3 linked regions of the Arabidopsis thaliana genome follow. The protein of the gene in region 1 interacts with the protein of each later gene in a pairwise test. Each region holds a gene or a part of one and is shown on either strand. Other genes may lie near its edges. The genes, in order: TOPP9, I-2 and AT5G19680.

Region 1 (5,488 bases):
TTACATATCAATCCAAGGAAATAGAGATTAAGTTAGATCAATAAACCCAAAGCAAAACACAGATGAATTATGCGATCATATACAGTAATGGTAACACACGGATCGAGAGACAAAGACAAACGAAAATAACAAGAAATGCAGAAATCAAGCAAGTTCAAGAGCTGAGACATAAACCCAGGTAGAGAAGCTGAGATTCAAACACAGGAATCCAACGAAAGATCAGAGATTTAGAAACGAGAGATTCAGAAACTAACCGACGAGACTTGCGGCGGCGGCGGCGGCGACGGAAGAGGATTTGTCTGGCTTTGGGGATCCTCTGCTCGCTAAAACGTCTGCAATTGTTATATTACTAAGTTACCCTTAATGTTCCTGACAACATCGATAAAGAAAAGGTTATTTACGGAAAACATTGATTTGCCGAGATTTTGGGTTGGTATGCAGCTATATTATTTGGTTTGTGGATTTCATAAACCGAAAAATCTAGTTTTTAGATTTTTCGGTTTAATAGTAAACCGGATTGAACCATCTTCCTATGAAATTAAACCAAAAGCCTGAGAATAAAATGTGCTACTATGAAAACTCGACGAGAGAGGGAGAATCAGTTTCAAGAAGAACCAATTCCGAAACAGAGAGAACAAGTCGTGCCATTGTGTAAAAGTAAGCTCTGTAAAAAGTATATGTATTACTGCTGGAAGAGAAAAAACACAGAGAGACATGTACTGCTAAATCAAAAGGAAATTGTTTTTACTGTGCAGATGATTCACAAAAGTAAGAGCCAAACCATGGAAGTCAATTCAAATATGGAAAAGATTAAGAAATGTGGTAATTTGATGATACAGGAAAGAAAGAAAAAAGCAAAAGAGGAGAGGCACTCTAAGTTAAACTAAGGTGTTAAAAGAATAACCAAATAAAAGAAAACAGACCAAAAGGAGATGAAAATCTAGAGAAGCAGAAAAGAGATGTTTCTGCAACTATACACAGAATATTTGGACAACACCTTTTGTTTTCTCTCTCTCTCTCTCTCTTTTGTTTTTTCTACTGATGCTTCTTCTTTGATGACTAAGTAAAGTAGCCTTTTGAGGTTCTCTTCTCCATTGCAGTTTGCCTACATCTGAAGAAATGCACAGAGCGCTAGCTTGAGCTTGTGAAACCAAATCTCTCAAGGGAATAAGCTGTATTAAGTTTCAAGACTTCCCCATTTTCGGTACCTGATCAAAAAGAGAAAATATAGAGAGAAACATGTGTTACATTATGACGTGAAGTTTCCAAAAGAACAAAACTTGTCATGACTCATCAAGTCCAAAAGGCTTGGTCTTGTTGGATTCAGATTTTGGTATATCCGAGCTAACCAATATTATTATCAAAAGAAGGACTACTTGGTCTTTTGAAAGTTCTTGGTGGAAACAAACCTTCTTGAGAGGATTAGTGCTAGAAGCTGGAGCCGGTTTCAGAATCTCAAAGGAGCAAACGAGAGATTGATCCACGCTCAATAATGCACCGGCATTGTCAAACTCTCCTCCATAGTTTGGAGCTGAGAATATTGTGACTAACCTCCGTTTTGCGAAAAACTCATACCCATCTTCCACTACCTGCAAACACGTCCCTCACAAGTCAATATCTTGGAAGGTTCTCATAAAAGTCTTTTCCTTTATGCCCATATTCACAAGATACAACAAATGTCAAACATTTCTACAGAGTTGGACCATTTGGTTCTAGTTTTGATCACTATGGAAGTCTATTTACCTGATGGCCTCTGCAAATGAGATCGAGATCATTCTTATCCAAAAAGTCAGCGACTACATCGGCTCCAAACGTGCAGGAGATACCTCGATCGCTATCAGTCCACCCTTCATTCTTCTGATCAGGATCAGACCAAAGTAAATCACAAAGAAGACCATTGTCTGGAATCTCTGTAGGCCTTTGAATCTCCCGAATCTGCCCCAAGTTTTCCAATTCCGGTGACAATCCACCATGCATACATAGGATCTTCTCGTCAATGAGAGCAGCTACCGGCAAACAGTTGAAGCAATCGGTGAATATCTTCCAAAGCCGTACATTAAACCTCCGTTTGCATTCGTCATAGAACCCGTAAATCCTGTTGATCTTAGCATCTTCATGGTTTCCTCTCAAGAGAAATATCTTGGATGGGTACCGGATTTTGTAAGCCAAGAGTAAACATATTGTTTCAAGACTTTGCTTGCCTCTATCAACGTAATCGCCGAGGAAGAGATAGTTCGCTGAAGGAGGATAGCCTCCGTATTCGAATAGCCTCAGAAGATCTTGGTACTGTCCATGGATATCACCTGAATTAGAGATCAAAACGGAAACCATTAGTACCTCATAAAACAAAGCATCAGCAGATTTAGAAACAATTTGCAGAAACTTTAACATAAATCCATCAAAATCAAAACTTTTTAGATCACCCAGATGCTAAAATCTTCAAACACACGTTTCGACATTAAGAAAAAAAGAGGAACCCTAATCAACACAAATTTGCCCCCAATTACAAATCTCATCTTTTTAACCCCAATCGTGCAATACGACTCAAACCCAAATCATCAAAACCAAAAAGCCACAATATTTTTTCATCATCACCACAAAGAGAGGGAGAGAAAGAGAAAGAGACCGCAGATGCGAATGGGGGCATGAAGCTCGAGAAGATTAGGCTGAGAAAGGAAGATTTGTCTGGCGTTAACGCAAAGTTGACGGATCTCGACCTCCGAAAGCTGAACCTGTTTACCTCCTTTACCTTCCAACAATCTCCTTATAATATCATCCAATACACCCATCTCCATCATCCCTTCCATACTCGTCATCATTCTTCCTCTGATCCCAACCTTTTTCACCAGAATCCAAAAGGGTTTGCGCCAAATCAGGCGAGAAACAATGGGTCTCGATTAAATAAAGAAATAATCAGAAAATCACAAACTTTTAATGTTTTTGTTCCTTTAGATTTTCCCGAGAAAATGCGGGAAACACAAAGGGGGGAAGAAAGAAAAGAGAGGTCAAACAAAGGGGGAAGGCAAAACCAGAAGCAATCTCTCTCTATATATCTCTCTATTAGTCTTAAAAACTCAGAGGAGGAAAGTGGATCAATTGGAAAAGATTAGAATTAATAACAAATCCGGATTTAAGGAGATTATTAATTGGAGAAACAGATGGCGCAGATAATAGCTCCTTCTCTTCTCTCTCTTTTGCTGCCAGAAATTTTTGGAATTTATATTTCAACTCTGTTTTAAATGGCTATTCATTACATTAAGAGAATGATGTCGGTCCAAAAAAACATAATTAAGATTAGAAATGGAACAAGTTGAGTTTTAACTATATACGATTATTATATCAATTAACAATTATATTTAGCAATTTCTAACTTTGTTTGGTATTGTAACAATGGCTACTCTACATGATGTAAAAATGGATCCAATGAACTACAAAAGAAAAAATGATTGGATAAAGAAAGCAAAACCAGTGCAATTGATTTGGTATTGTCCAACAGAACTAAAAACATGATTAAAAGGGGAAGTTGTCAAATCTCAAAATAGAAAAACGAAGACGAAGTAATTAGTGAAACCTTCTAAGGCAAGAATTATGGGGTAGTGGACGGACGGTGATGGAAGAAGAAGATCCAGCCTAAAAAGAATGAGACGTGGATGATTCTCATTGGAACTGGTCAAAGCTCCTTACATACACTAATTTCCTTTGTAGTTAAATAAATTATTCAAGTAATTGTTGTCGGGCGAGAAACCGCGTCTTTTGAAAAGTTCGTTTTATGGTTATATTTGTATACGTGTGAGGGTAATACTTAGAATTCGTAAATGGGTTCCCATCATGTTCCACTACACCATCCTAATTATATAAACAGACAGTGATTAGTAACATTAATTGATACTTTTTCTTTCTTTTTGGGCGAGTAAATTTTAACTTATTTGAAAGTTGATTCATAACACTTTCTGTGACAAGAAATCAACAATAATAGGTTAAAATTGCGTAAACAAGTATACTTACCTATGTATTAGTAGTTTACATACATGATAACAAGTATGAAGTATACTACACCTAATATGTGGTTCATTCTTTTTTCTAAGCAAAATAAAATATTTCTTTTCTTCTAGACGGCATGCATCAATGATTAAACTATTTCTTGTATCAATATAACTAATCTTTTATAGTTACGTATATAAAAGGTTTGTAAGAAAATACATCAGAAATGCTTTTTTTTCATGTTGGTCAGAAAAAGAAAAGGAAAGGCTTTCTATGGTGACAAATAAAAATTATATAAATGGGCCAATATATTACAGAATTTAAGTCCAAACTTATTGTGGTCTTATATTCAAGGCCCATCTCGTGAAGGAAGAAAATAACTAAGCCCATTTCGTGGAGGAAGTAAGAGAACCCTAAAATTGAGTTGGTATAAAAACCCTAGCATCAGTATTTTCATGTAGAAGGTCGGCGGTTCCATCACCACAACGCCGGACGACAATGGTACTTCTCTCCTCCTCTGTCGTTCAATCTTCATTTCTCTCTGTCTTTCCTCTACAAGTATTTTCTGTTGTTAGTTTGATATCAAAGGTTCAGAAATCTTGTTGTTAAGAGATTGTGGGTGTTTCCTGTCATTTTAAATGTTGTATAGTGTATTAGGTTTGTTTTTCTGACATTTGAGTCTCGGGTTAGAGTGTGAACGATCTATCTCTCTTAGTTTTTTTGAGATTGGATCTTGCTTTCATGCTTGTTTGTGAGATTGATTGGTTGTGTTATTGCAGGGTATTGATCTGATCGCCGGAGGTAAGAGTAAGAAGACCAAAAGGACAGCTCCAAAGTCTGATGATGTCTACCTCAAGCTTACTGTCAAGGTCAGAATTTTAAACATCAATCTTTGTCCTTTGCCTTATATTATCCAATTGAAGAGGTTTTTTAATTTTATTTTAGTGAATTGTTCTGAATTTTGTTTGTGAAATTTTGCAGCTTTACCGGTTTCTGGTAAGGAGAACTAATAGCAAGTTCAATGGTGTGATATTGAAGAGGCTTTTCATGAGCAAAGTCAACAAAGCTCCTCTTTCTCTATCTAGGCTTGTGGAGTTCATGACTGGCAAGGTACTAATTCGTTGAAACCCTCTCTCTCTACTGTATCTTTATGGTTAAATTAGTTTTAGGTCATGTTGAATCTGTTACATTTCCTAGATACAGTGTCCAGTTTATGAATCTGCTAATGTGAACTTAGTCTGTAACATGGCGGTGTTCGATAATTGATTCAAAATTCTCTACATTGTCTATGCTTTGGATTTTGAATTTTGCCTCTTGTTCTGATATTATAGGAAGATAAGATTGCCGTCTTGGTTGGAACTATAACTGATGATTTGAGGGTACACGAGATTCCAGCCATGAAAGTGACTGCCTTGAGGTTCACAGAGAGAGCAAGGGCTCGCATTGAGAAAGCTGGAGGTGAATGCTTAACCTTTGACCAGCTCGCTCTCAGAGCTCCATTGGGCCA
Region 2 (4,819 bases), on another chromosome or scaffold:
ATTTAGCTACAGAGCAAAGCGCATCGACGGTTGAGAATCCTCCAGGACCAGCTGAAGCGATTAAGAGATCAGAAGATGAGATTGGAGGTGTTGTCATGTCGAAGACTAAGTGAGTGGGGAGACCAAAGTGGAAGAGACGCATCGCGAAGGCTTTTAGCATTAGACCTTCGCGTCCAACACCGTAGAGGAAGATACGAGAGTTGTTGCGGTTGCGGGAGATTGCGGTAAGCTCTGTTACTAGGAGATCGAGCGGTGGTGGATATGGTGAGGTTGGTTTTGTGAAGACAGATGAGATTTGGTTGCAGATTTGAGAAGATAGATTCGCCATTTCTTGAGCTTTCTCGTTCGCCATTGATGTTGAATAATTCAGCTTATCATCATCATCATCATCTTATATCGTGCATTTTGGACCACGTTTACAAATTTATACCGTTTGATTCGGTGGTTAATTGAATTCCGGTTCGGTTCGGTTTTAATGTCATATCAAACAAAAATACAATGACAAATTTGGAATATGATGTAAGAACATAGAACATGGAAGAACAGAGGTGACAGTAAGAAATTGCATTCAAAATGCTATAAAAGACAATCACATAATTGATGGGAGTTTTTGTTTCCTTCTTAAATTTCTGGAAGATTCAAATTGATAAAAACCAAGATTAGTTGAGATTGAGAGCTCTCTGTGAAACATGGAGCAGAGTACACATTTGATTGAACAGAAAGGTTTTATATTAACTCAGGGGATGAAGATGACGACGTCCCTGATACCGTTTTGGTTGCATCTAACTCTTTGTTTCCGCCTTTAGTGTGTCGTGAGTTTGTTGTTGTCTCTGATTTACTACCTTTTGCACCATCATCCTCTTCCTCTTCTTCTTCATAGAATGACCCTGAGGATCTCAGTTCCTTCACCTTCCGAAACTCGTCGTAATGTGCTTTTCTGTGTGCGTTGAAACGTTCATTTTTACCACTTCCAGAACCTGTGGTTTTGCACACAAAAAAAATAGATATATCGGGATGACCTAACAAAAGAACCTATATATGACAGTAGATTTGTTTGGTTTTAGAGGAGGACCTTCTTCATCTTGATCCATTGGATCTGCTTCTTCTTCTTCTTCATCAGACGAGCTCCAGCCACCACCACCAGAACCCTGGCTACTATTTCTACTGGAAGAAGCTGCTGCATCATTCAGAACATTCCTCAGTTCTTCAGCTCGTTGCATATCATCAACACATTCATCAAACGCTCTTCCTCTAGGAGACAAAGAACCTGGCACAATCAATCACGGATTAGAACAGATCAGAACTGATTCAAGTTAACCTTACATCTAGAGTGACAAATTTCCAAATCAACCAACCAATTGCAGGTACAAGATTTCCCCCAAAAAGATAAGTAATCGTCCAACTTTGTAGATGAATTAAAAAGCAGATAATTTTCACATACAATTTGCTCTTGCTTTCTGTCTGACATACATTCCATTTTTACATATATGTTTAGATGATGACAAGTATGTATCAACAATAAAATGCAAAAACGTCATAAGCATATAAACGTGTATCGAAAGTTCTGTGCATATACTAAGAGAAACCAAATAAAGAAAAATAGACAAACCATCATCATCCATCATCGGGTGGTATGGTGTCTTTGGTTCAGTAATCTTCTGCCTAACAGGTTTGTTCGATTCAATCTCCACTATATTAGCTTCATCCCATTGAACACGCCCCCTGCCATAATAACAAACATACTTAGTGACAATTCCATGAGAAACTATACTAGATTATACAAAAGATCACCTCTCTTTACAAAAGAATGACGATGTCTAAGCCTTAAACTAAAGACAATAAAGTTCACAGAATCTTACAGTTAAACAATTCTGCTGGAATATGAAAATCCATGAACATTAACACAATAAGACCTCCCTCTTCCATTTCCTTTTTCAATGGGTGTAGTAGAAAATATATCTGTTTTACGATTCCTTCATAAAAAGACCGCCATATAAGGCTTAGAACTTCATATCTATGAATATACATCCCTCCACAAAAATGACATAACACAGCCCATTGACTTCACAATTGATCTTATTTGAACACATTGAAAAGGTACCGTTCTGATGCAGCAAGCATTCTCAAATCTAATAGAAACTAAAGACACAAGCGAAAGTAAAAATTTGAAAAGGAGAAACATACTTCAAAGAAATCCATCAAAATCAATCCAATCTGCTAACTTTCCAAACAAAAGAACACAATGGTATAACTGACCACTCAAAATCACAAACCTTTAAATACGAAGAAGCAGGAATCAGTATCTACCTCTCTCATGATCATTGAGCTAAAGTATCCTAAAATCTATAAAGCAAAAACCTCCTAAATTTCTCAAATTTGCTGAGTAATGGTTTCAATCAGAAAGGGTTTAACCTAAATAACCAATTGATATCAAAAGCTTATCACTTTCCTCAATCATTCACCCATAACATATCCCGAAAGACACTGTAAGAAACCCTAGCCTATGTTTGGTTCTACAAAGACCAAAACTAAAATCAAAGATAGATCTTTCGTGACAATCATCAAAGATTCAAACTAAGAGAAAACAATCAAAACAATAAAATTTATTTACCTCTTTGGTTCGGTCATCTTCAAAATCTCCAGCAACTTTTTTCTTTGTCTCGATCGCAAGTTTTTAAGACCTGTTGTGTTCTTGATTAAAGAAGATACGAGGGTCAACTAAAGATGCAACAGAAACCGTCCGTTTGTTTGACTTTTATCACTGTTGCATCCAGATTCCGCCACGTGGATTACTTCAAACCCGTTCGATTGATCAAGCGCGTGAAGACTTGAGTAAGGGTAGTTTCGGAAATACACTTTAGAAGTTTTTTTTTTTTTCCTTTTTCCTGAGAACGATCGAATCGAAGACGGAGTGTGCAAAAGCCAAAGCTTTGATCTTTCATTAATTCTTCTCAAGATCTTCAGAGTCTGTAAGTATTTTTGGAATCTTATTTTTCTTGTTTCTCAATCGATGTAAAATAAAATTCAGTTGTTGATGATTTTACCATGTTTCGGGAGCTTGTGTTGATCTAGTTCTTCGCTCTCACTAGGCTAATTTTGATCTTCCTGATGTGCACAATGTGAATGGGTCTTAGGTATTAGTGATTTATCGGCTTTTTATTTGATCCATTATCTATCCAAAGATCTAATTTTTTCTGTTTTGCTGAAGTTGTAAATTGGAACCCTTTTGTGAATTGTGTGGTTTTTTTAGTTTGGTATTGCATAGTGGTTTCTCTGAAACTGTGAATTAGATCTGAGAATGGAGTCTTGTGATCTCCAATTACTTGTGTGATGCTTTTGTTATGCTTACTCAAATTATGATAAGGAAGCAAAGTTATGTTGATGCTGATGATAATAAGCTCTTCTCTTATTTTTGGTTCATGTGAAAGACAAGGGAAGATCAAAGTAATTAAATAAGCTGAAGTAAGAGGAAGTGATGTTTTCTCTTATGTCTGGACTATGGAGTTACATGTTTAGCAAGACTGAGTTTAATGTGCTTATTCTTGGTATCGACAAAGCTGGGAAGACGGTAATGCTTTCTTTTTAATCTTTTCTGTTACACGAATCTGAAATGTTGAGGATACACCTCTCATGTACTTGCCCTTACTTCAATGTCGTAGACATTTTTGGAGAAACTGAAGACGATATACTCAATCTCGGAAGGTCTTCCTCATGATCGAATTGTTCCTACTGTGGGGCTTAATATTGGTCGCATTGAAGTCTCCAATGCTAAAATTGTGTTCTGGGATCTGGGAGGTCAGGTGAGTTAGAGATGCCTTAGCTCATATCATTGATCTCTCTTCTTTGTACCTAATTATGTGTTCCTACAAGTCACCTATACCACCAAAGAGAATATGCTTGTAAGTTGATATGAGAAATATAGGATACAAGGAAGATCCCTTTGAACTCCTTCCCTCTCTAAGTTTATGCGTGAGCCTTTTTTGCTTTATAGATTGTTTCGTCCTGTTGAAAACTACTATCGGTTGTTTTGATTTACAAACCCTAATTGTGAACAAGGATCAGTCTTTCTAATCAAATAACTGTGGCTTTTCCCCTTTATGGCAGCCTGGTTTGCGGTCTATTTGGGAGAAATACTATGAAGAAGCACACGCGTTGATATATTTGATTGATGCAGCTTGCCCAACCCGCTTTGAAGATTCTAAATCTGCTTTAGGTAAGTCTCCGAACACAAGTTGACTCCAAACAGCATTATGAAGCTAAAGCTAAAATATAAATTGTCTTCACCAGAAAAAGCCCTGCGGCATGAGGATTTGCAAGGAGCCCCTCTTTTAATATTGGCAAACAAGCAAGTAGGAATTTGTATTGCGTCATTTGTTTCACTTAAATTCTTCAAATATATGTTGTTACTGATAGTCTTTGAATCTGTAACCAATGAGCAGGACCTCACAAATGCTGTATCGGCTGAGGAACTGGACCGATACCTTGATTTAAAGAAATTGGATGAAAGAGTGTACATGTTTGAAGCAGTTTCTGGATATGATGGGTAAGTAAATCTAACGTAAGCTACACACAGGATCCTTATAGCGCCAATCGAAACACCTTTAGCAGGAAATATTAAACGTATGTTTTGTTGAGAGCAGGCGAGGAATCAAAGAAAGTATAGAATGGCTGGTTGGAGTAATGGAGAAAAGCAAGAGAACCGAATCATTAAGAGCCCGTGCAGGGTACACTCCTGTGCCAAATTCATAGACACGAGAAAGGACTCGCAAACTCAACTCTCCAGTCAACTGGTTTCCTTTGAAATACATTTGTAGATAAG
Region 3 (5,087 bases), on another chromosome or scaffold:
AGTCAGAAGAACGTCAAAAGCTCTATTTTAAGTGGGGGCTCCTCCATTGCTAGTCCTGCATCTGGAAATAGTTCCTTGCTTGTTTCTAAGAAAGTAAGTAAGAAGAAGAAAATGCGGTGTGATCTTCCACCAAAATCTGTGACAACAATAGATGAGATGAATCGGATATTAGCAAGGCACCGTAGAACTTCACGAGCAATGGTATGTGTGCAGCTGTCATTTCTATTTTCTTTTCACCTGTGGAACTTTAGTTATGATGCAATTAAGAGATATACTACTTCCAATGTAGCGACCGCGTTGGTCTTCGAGGAGAGATGAGGAGATATTGACTGCAAGGAAGGAGATAGAGAATGCTCCGGTTGCAAAACTTGAACGGGAGCTCTACCCTCCAATATTCCGTAATGTTTCCCTGTTTAAAAGGTAAAAGTGCAGAACTTAGAGCTAATTCTGAATTAAATTTGCTGGTAATGAAAAAGAGTAATGGTATATACACGAATTGATGAATCCTCAGTAGTATCATTAGTCCTATGTGGATGAAACTTTAGCACTACTCCTACTGTAAAATCCGCATCATATGGTCCTATGTTGAGATAATTTTCTGTTCGGAACTTAGTACTGTGAAGAGAGTAAAAAGAAAAAGAAAGCCTGAGTTCATATTATATGTTTAGTTCACAAATTCGTTCTGTTTGGTAGTGTCTTCTTATAAAAGGTAATCTTGACATATCCGATTCAGTTATGTGCCTCAGGAGTTACGAACTTATGGAACGGATACTCAAAGTTTACGTATATAAGGAAGGGAACCGCCCCATCTTTCATACTCCGATACTCAAGGGATTGTATGCATCAGAGGGATGGTTCATGAAGTTGATGGAAGGAAACAAGCAGTACACTGTAAAGGACCCAAGAAAGGCTCACTTGTACTATATGCCATTTAGTGCACGGATGCTAGAATACACACTTTATGTGCGTAATTCTCACAACCGCACTAACCTACGCCAGTTTCTTAAGGAATATACGGAGCACATCAGTTCCAAGTACCCTTTCTTCAATAGAACCGATGGAGCCGATCATTTTCTTGTTGCTTGTCATGATTGGGTAGGCATCTGTTTCATTTTTTAAAGTTAACTAATCATTTTTTCTATAGGTAACAATTTTCTATGTTGAATTTGGCTTCACTAACAGGCACCATATGAGACTAGGCACCACATGGAGCATTGCATTAAAGCTTTATGCAATGCAGACGTAACCGCAGGCTTTAAGATTGGAAGAGACATCTCACTCCCTGAAACATATGTCAGAGCCGCCAAAAATCCGCTTCGTGATTTGGGTGGAAAACCGCCGTCTCAGAGGCGGACCCTGGCTTTCTATGCTGGAAGCATGCACGGTTACTTACGTCAGATTCTGCTACAGCATTGGAAAGACAAAGACCCGGACATGAAAATCTTCGGGCGAATGCCATTTGGTGTGGCGAGCAAGATGAATTACATCGAGCAGATGAAAAGCAGCAAGTACTGCATTTGTCCTAAAGGGTACGAAGTCAACAGCCCGAGGGTGGTTGAATCGATTTTCTATGAGTGTGTCCCTGTGATCATCTCCGACAACTTTGTGCCACCTTTCTTCGAGGTTCTTGATTGGAGTGCGTTCTCGGTCATTGTTGCGGAGAAAGACATCCCGAGGTTGAAAGATATCTTGTTATCAATACCAGAAGACAAATACGTGAAGATGCAAATGGCGGTGAGAAAGGCGCAAAGGCACTTTCTGTGGCATGCTAAACCTGAGAAATATGATCTGTTTCATATGGTTTTGCATTCTATTTGGTATAACAGAGTGTTCCAAGCAAAGCGTAGATGATGTTACTATGGAGTGCTGATGGTGAAAGTTTAGACCCAATGTGCTTGTTTGTTGTGTGAGTAATGAATAGCTACAAAGTTGACTCTACCTTTGTAAATATTGACTCATAATTTTGTTCTAATTCGACTTGATGTTGGGCCTATTCATAGGTTTTCAGGCCCACCATAACAACCCTACAGGCAACAATGTTACAAGTGTGCCTGAAACGTTGACGTTTAAGTTTAAGAGAACTTCGCTTTAGAGTTTAGACCAGTTCCCCACAAAGCTCGTTGTCGTCATCGCGCGAGCTTGAACCAAAAAAACCATGAACAGTGAGAAGGAAGACGAGCCATTGGAAGAGATCGGCGATTCGAATAATGTTCTCGATCTCACTAGCTATCAGCTCCACAGTCTCGATACGGTCGAGTTACCGCCGAACCTGATTGAGCTGGACCTTACGGCGAACCGTTTGTCGGGATTGGACTCGAGGATCGCTCAGCTCTCCACGCTTAAGAAGCTTTCTCTCCGCCAAAACCTAATTGATGATTCCGCCGTCGAACCGTTGTCTCACTGGGACGCCTTGTCCGATCTCGAGGTGATTCTCGACTCTCTGATTTATCTTTTGAGTGATTTTGTAAATGGTGAAATATCTAGGCATCTGATTTTGTTTTTGGCCGTGGAACGTTATGATTTTGGCTAATTGCCTTTTGCATTTCACTTTTGATTTTCACTAGAATTGAAAATTGGCATTGATAGTCTGAGAGGCATAGTTATTTGTGGGCAGTGGATAAAGAAGAGTGTTTCTTGCTATAATTTATGCAGGAGTTAGTTCTCAGAGATAACAAGCTAGCGAAAGTACCAGATGTCAGCATATTCACGAAGCTTTTGGTTTACGACATATCTTTCAATGAAATCACTTCTTTGGAAGGAATATCCAAGGCCTCTAGCACACTGAAGGAACTCTATGTGTCTAAAAATGAAGTTAACAAGATTATGGAGATTGAACACTTACACAACTTGCAGATTCTTGAACTGGGGTCTAATAGATTGCGGGTTTGTCCCTCCCTCCTCTTTGATATTTTTTTATTCTCTTTACAGTGCTTCAGCAATGAATTTGAAAGCATTGAGGTTTCAGGTGATGGAAAATCTGGAAAACTTCACAAAATTAGAAGAACTATGGCTCGGAAGAAACCGTATCAAAGTTGTTAACCTGTGTGGGCTCAAATGCATAAAAAAGATTAGCTTGCAGAGCAATCGATTGACCTCTATGAAAGGATTTGAGGTGTGCTTCATTTACCTTTCTGCAGATATACTCATTCCTCATGCCAGCATTTTTATTTCTTCTGATGCTTGAAATATTATGTACCCAGGAATGTGTTGCTCTTGAAGAGTTATATTTGAGCCATAATGGTATCTCCAAAATGGAAGGCTTGAGTGCATTGGTCAACCTACGGGTATTGGACGTGTCGAACAACAAGCTTACTTCAGTTGATGACATTCAGAACCTCACAAAGTATTTCACCTTTCCCTTGCTTCAGACCGATTTTTGTCTTTTGGTGATTTATTTTCTCCATCCTGACTTTAACTTAACCTATAGGTTGGAAGATTTGTGGCTTAATGACAACCAGATAGAATCACTGGAAGCAATCACAGAAGCTGTTACAGGATCTAAAGAGAAGCTTACCACTATCTACCTCGAAAATAACCCTTGTGTAAGTTTAATCATAATCTTTAGTCACTTTTCATCAAAGTCTTGTCACTCAGTATCGTAGGATCTCCTATCTTTGGTTTTGCTTTTGCTTTTTGATATGGAATGTCAATTTAATGGTACACAGAGTGATCCCATTGCTGGTCTTGTTCAATGTGCATCGTAATTTAGATTATTTTTTTTCCGTATATATTGATAATGCATAAGAAACCTTGGGTTTTTCTATAAAGTTTCTTATGCATTTAAGTAAACTTGAGTACCACAACTTGGTTGTAGTTTTTTGCATAAGTCAATTCATTTATTTGGGTGAGTCCCAGTGTCTTCTATAAATTATCAATTTCTTTGGCTCAGAAGATGTGAAAAGTAATTATTTTACTGAGAGCCATTAAACGTTATCTAATATAAGTGTATCATTTTCTGTTGTCCATCTCCTCTCAGGCCAAGTCTTCTGATTATGTTGCTGCGGTCAGACAAATCTTCCCGAATGTGGAGCAAATTGATTCTAACTTATTTGCTTAGAGATGGATATATTCCTTGTCGTGCTGTTTGTATGAATGTCTGCTTCCTCATCCCATGGGCATGGGCATCGAATTTAGGAAATCAGGTACAACACGGATTCCTCAAAATATACATGTGTCTGCTGTTTATCATAAAGAAGTGCAAATGAGCAAATTAAATCGCTCTCGTCATGGATATTTATTAAAACGTTTTTGAAATTCTAGTGTTCCCTTGCAAGTAAACCAATTCTTGTTTTTGGTCTGTAATAGTATGTGGACTGTGTCTGTAAAAGGGAATCCCCGAGTCTGAAGTTGTCTTTGTTTCAAGTTTCAACCGAGAACACTAACTTGAATACTTTGATCCATATTTTTGACTTTGCCCCTTGCTTTTTTATCTTTATAGTTTCATGTGATTGTTCAGTATTGAAAGGTTGCTATATTACATATTTTACTACTTTTTGGTAACTTGTTACAAGTTTTGGGCTTCTAATCTTTCTTTCCGACAGAAGTACTTTTTGTTAATGAACTGAAGAAATTTGCTGTATAAAAGAAGGTACAAGAGTGGTATAAAAGAAAAAGAAAAAAGTCATTTCACCAATACAGATCTGCACTTCTGCAATCACATTCTCTAGAGAGTTAGCCGCAAAGTATCACCTTAAATTATCTTACGTACCAAAATATTAATGGAAGTAGTCTATGTTTATACTAAACCGATTTGAACCGAAAATGTTTATAATAATGGTGGTATTTTGAATTGAGGTTTTGGTTGACCTGATATTTCATCGGTTTGGAAAGTCAACTTCTCTTTTATAGTCGCTCACCGGTTTGATTTGATTGATATTTACATCACGCAAGAAAACCGGATATAGCTTAAGATGACTTGTAGCGAATGAACACATGACATGTGTTAATTCCACGAAGGCTGGGTCAGTCGTTTGTTTACTAGTTACCGCAGCTCAAACATGTAATTCCCGTGAGAGATTGTTTTGCCGGAGATAGTAGTTTTCGCGTCTCCAAAAACCCTTCGACCTTTGCCGGAGATAGTAGTTCCT

Evidence for each region.
Region 2: the proteins of TOPP9 (region 1) and I-2 interact in a two-hybrid assay, tested with the Arabidopsis thaliana proteins (one large-scale study listed by BioGRID).
Region 3: the proteins of TOPP9 (region 1) and AT5G19680 interact in a two-hybrid assay, tested with the Arabidopsis thaliana proteins (one large-scale study listed by BioGRID).

The regions. Positions count from the first base shown.
Region 1 is NC_003074.8:1,617,032-1,622,519, forward strand, and holds TOPP9 (Calcineurin-like metallo-phosphoesterase superfamily protein), read right to left. Parts: upstream 3,672-5,488; 5' UTR 2,820-3,671; coding exon 2,627-2,819; intron 2,304-2,626; coding exon 1,744-2,303; coding exon of another isoform or gene 1,726-1,743; exon of another isoform or gene 1,590-1,725; coding exon 1,410-1,589; intron 1,209-1,409; coding exon 1,185-1,208; 3' UTR 630-1,184; downstream 1-629. Other genes in the region: RPL18 (ribosomal protein L18), read left to right, coding at 4,480-4,482, 4,761-4,850, 4,963-5,091, 5,313-5,488.
Region 2 is NC_003076.8:21,202,092-21,206,910, forward strand, and holds I-2 (phosphoprotein phosphatase inhibitor), read right to left. Parts: upstream 2,726-4,819; 5' UTR 2,629-2,725; coding exon 2,612-2,628; exon of another isoform or gene 1,860-2,611; intron 1,723-1,859; coding exon 1,610-1,722; intron 1,268-1,609; coding exon 1,073-1,267; intron 978-1,072; coding exon 727-977; 3' UTR 513-726; downstream 1-512. Other genes in the region: AT5G52190 (Sugar isomerase (SIS) family protein), read right to left, coding at 1-352; GB1 (GTP-binding protein 1), read left to right, coding at 3,476-3,568, 3,660-3,800, 4,105-4,213, 4,288-4,349, 4,440-4,543, 4,641-4,749. UniProt on the Arabidopsis thaliana protein: Inhibitor of protein-phosphatase 1 (PP1). Binds to and inhibits PP1 activity. Acts as negative regulator of abscisic acid (ABA) signaling. Enhances the inhibition of SRK2E/SNRK2.6 by TOPP1. May promote the interaction between TOPP1 and the ABA receptor PYL11.
Region 3 is NC_003076.8:6,647,508-6,652,594, forward strand, and holds AT5G19680 (Leucine-rich repeat (LRR) family protein), read left to right. Parts: upstream 1-2,066; 5' UTR 2,067-2,155; coding exon 2,156-2,425; intron 2,426-2,652; coding exon 2,653-2,883; intron 2,884-2,965; coding exon 2,966-3,112; intron 3,113-3,200; coding exon 3,201-3,343; intron 3,344-3,427; coding exon 3,428-3,542; intron 3,543-3,976; coding exon 3,977-4,057; 3' UTR 4,058-4,539; downstream 4,540-5,087. Other genes in the region: AT5G19670 (Exostosin family protein), read left to right, coding at 1-201, 290-420, 747-1,095, 1,183-1,851; AT5G19675 (uncharacterized protein), read right to left, coding at 1,569-1,688, 1,717-1,809. UniProt on the Arabidopsis thaliana protein: Inhibitor of protein-phosphatase 1 (PP1). Binds to and inhibits PP1 activity.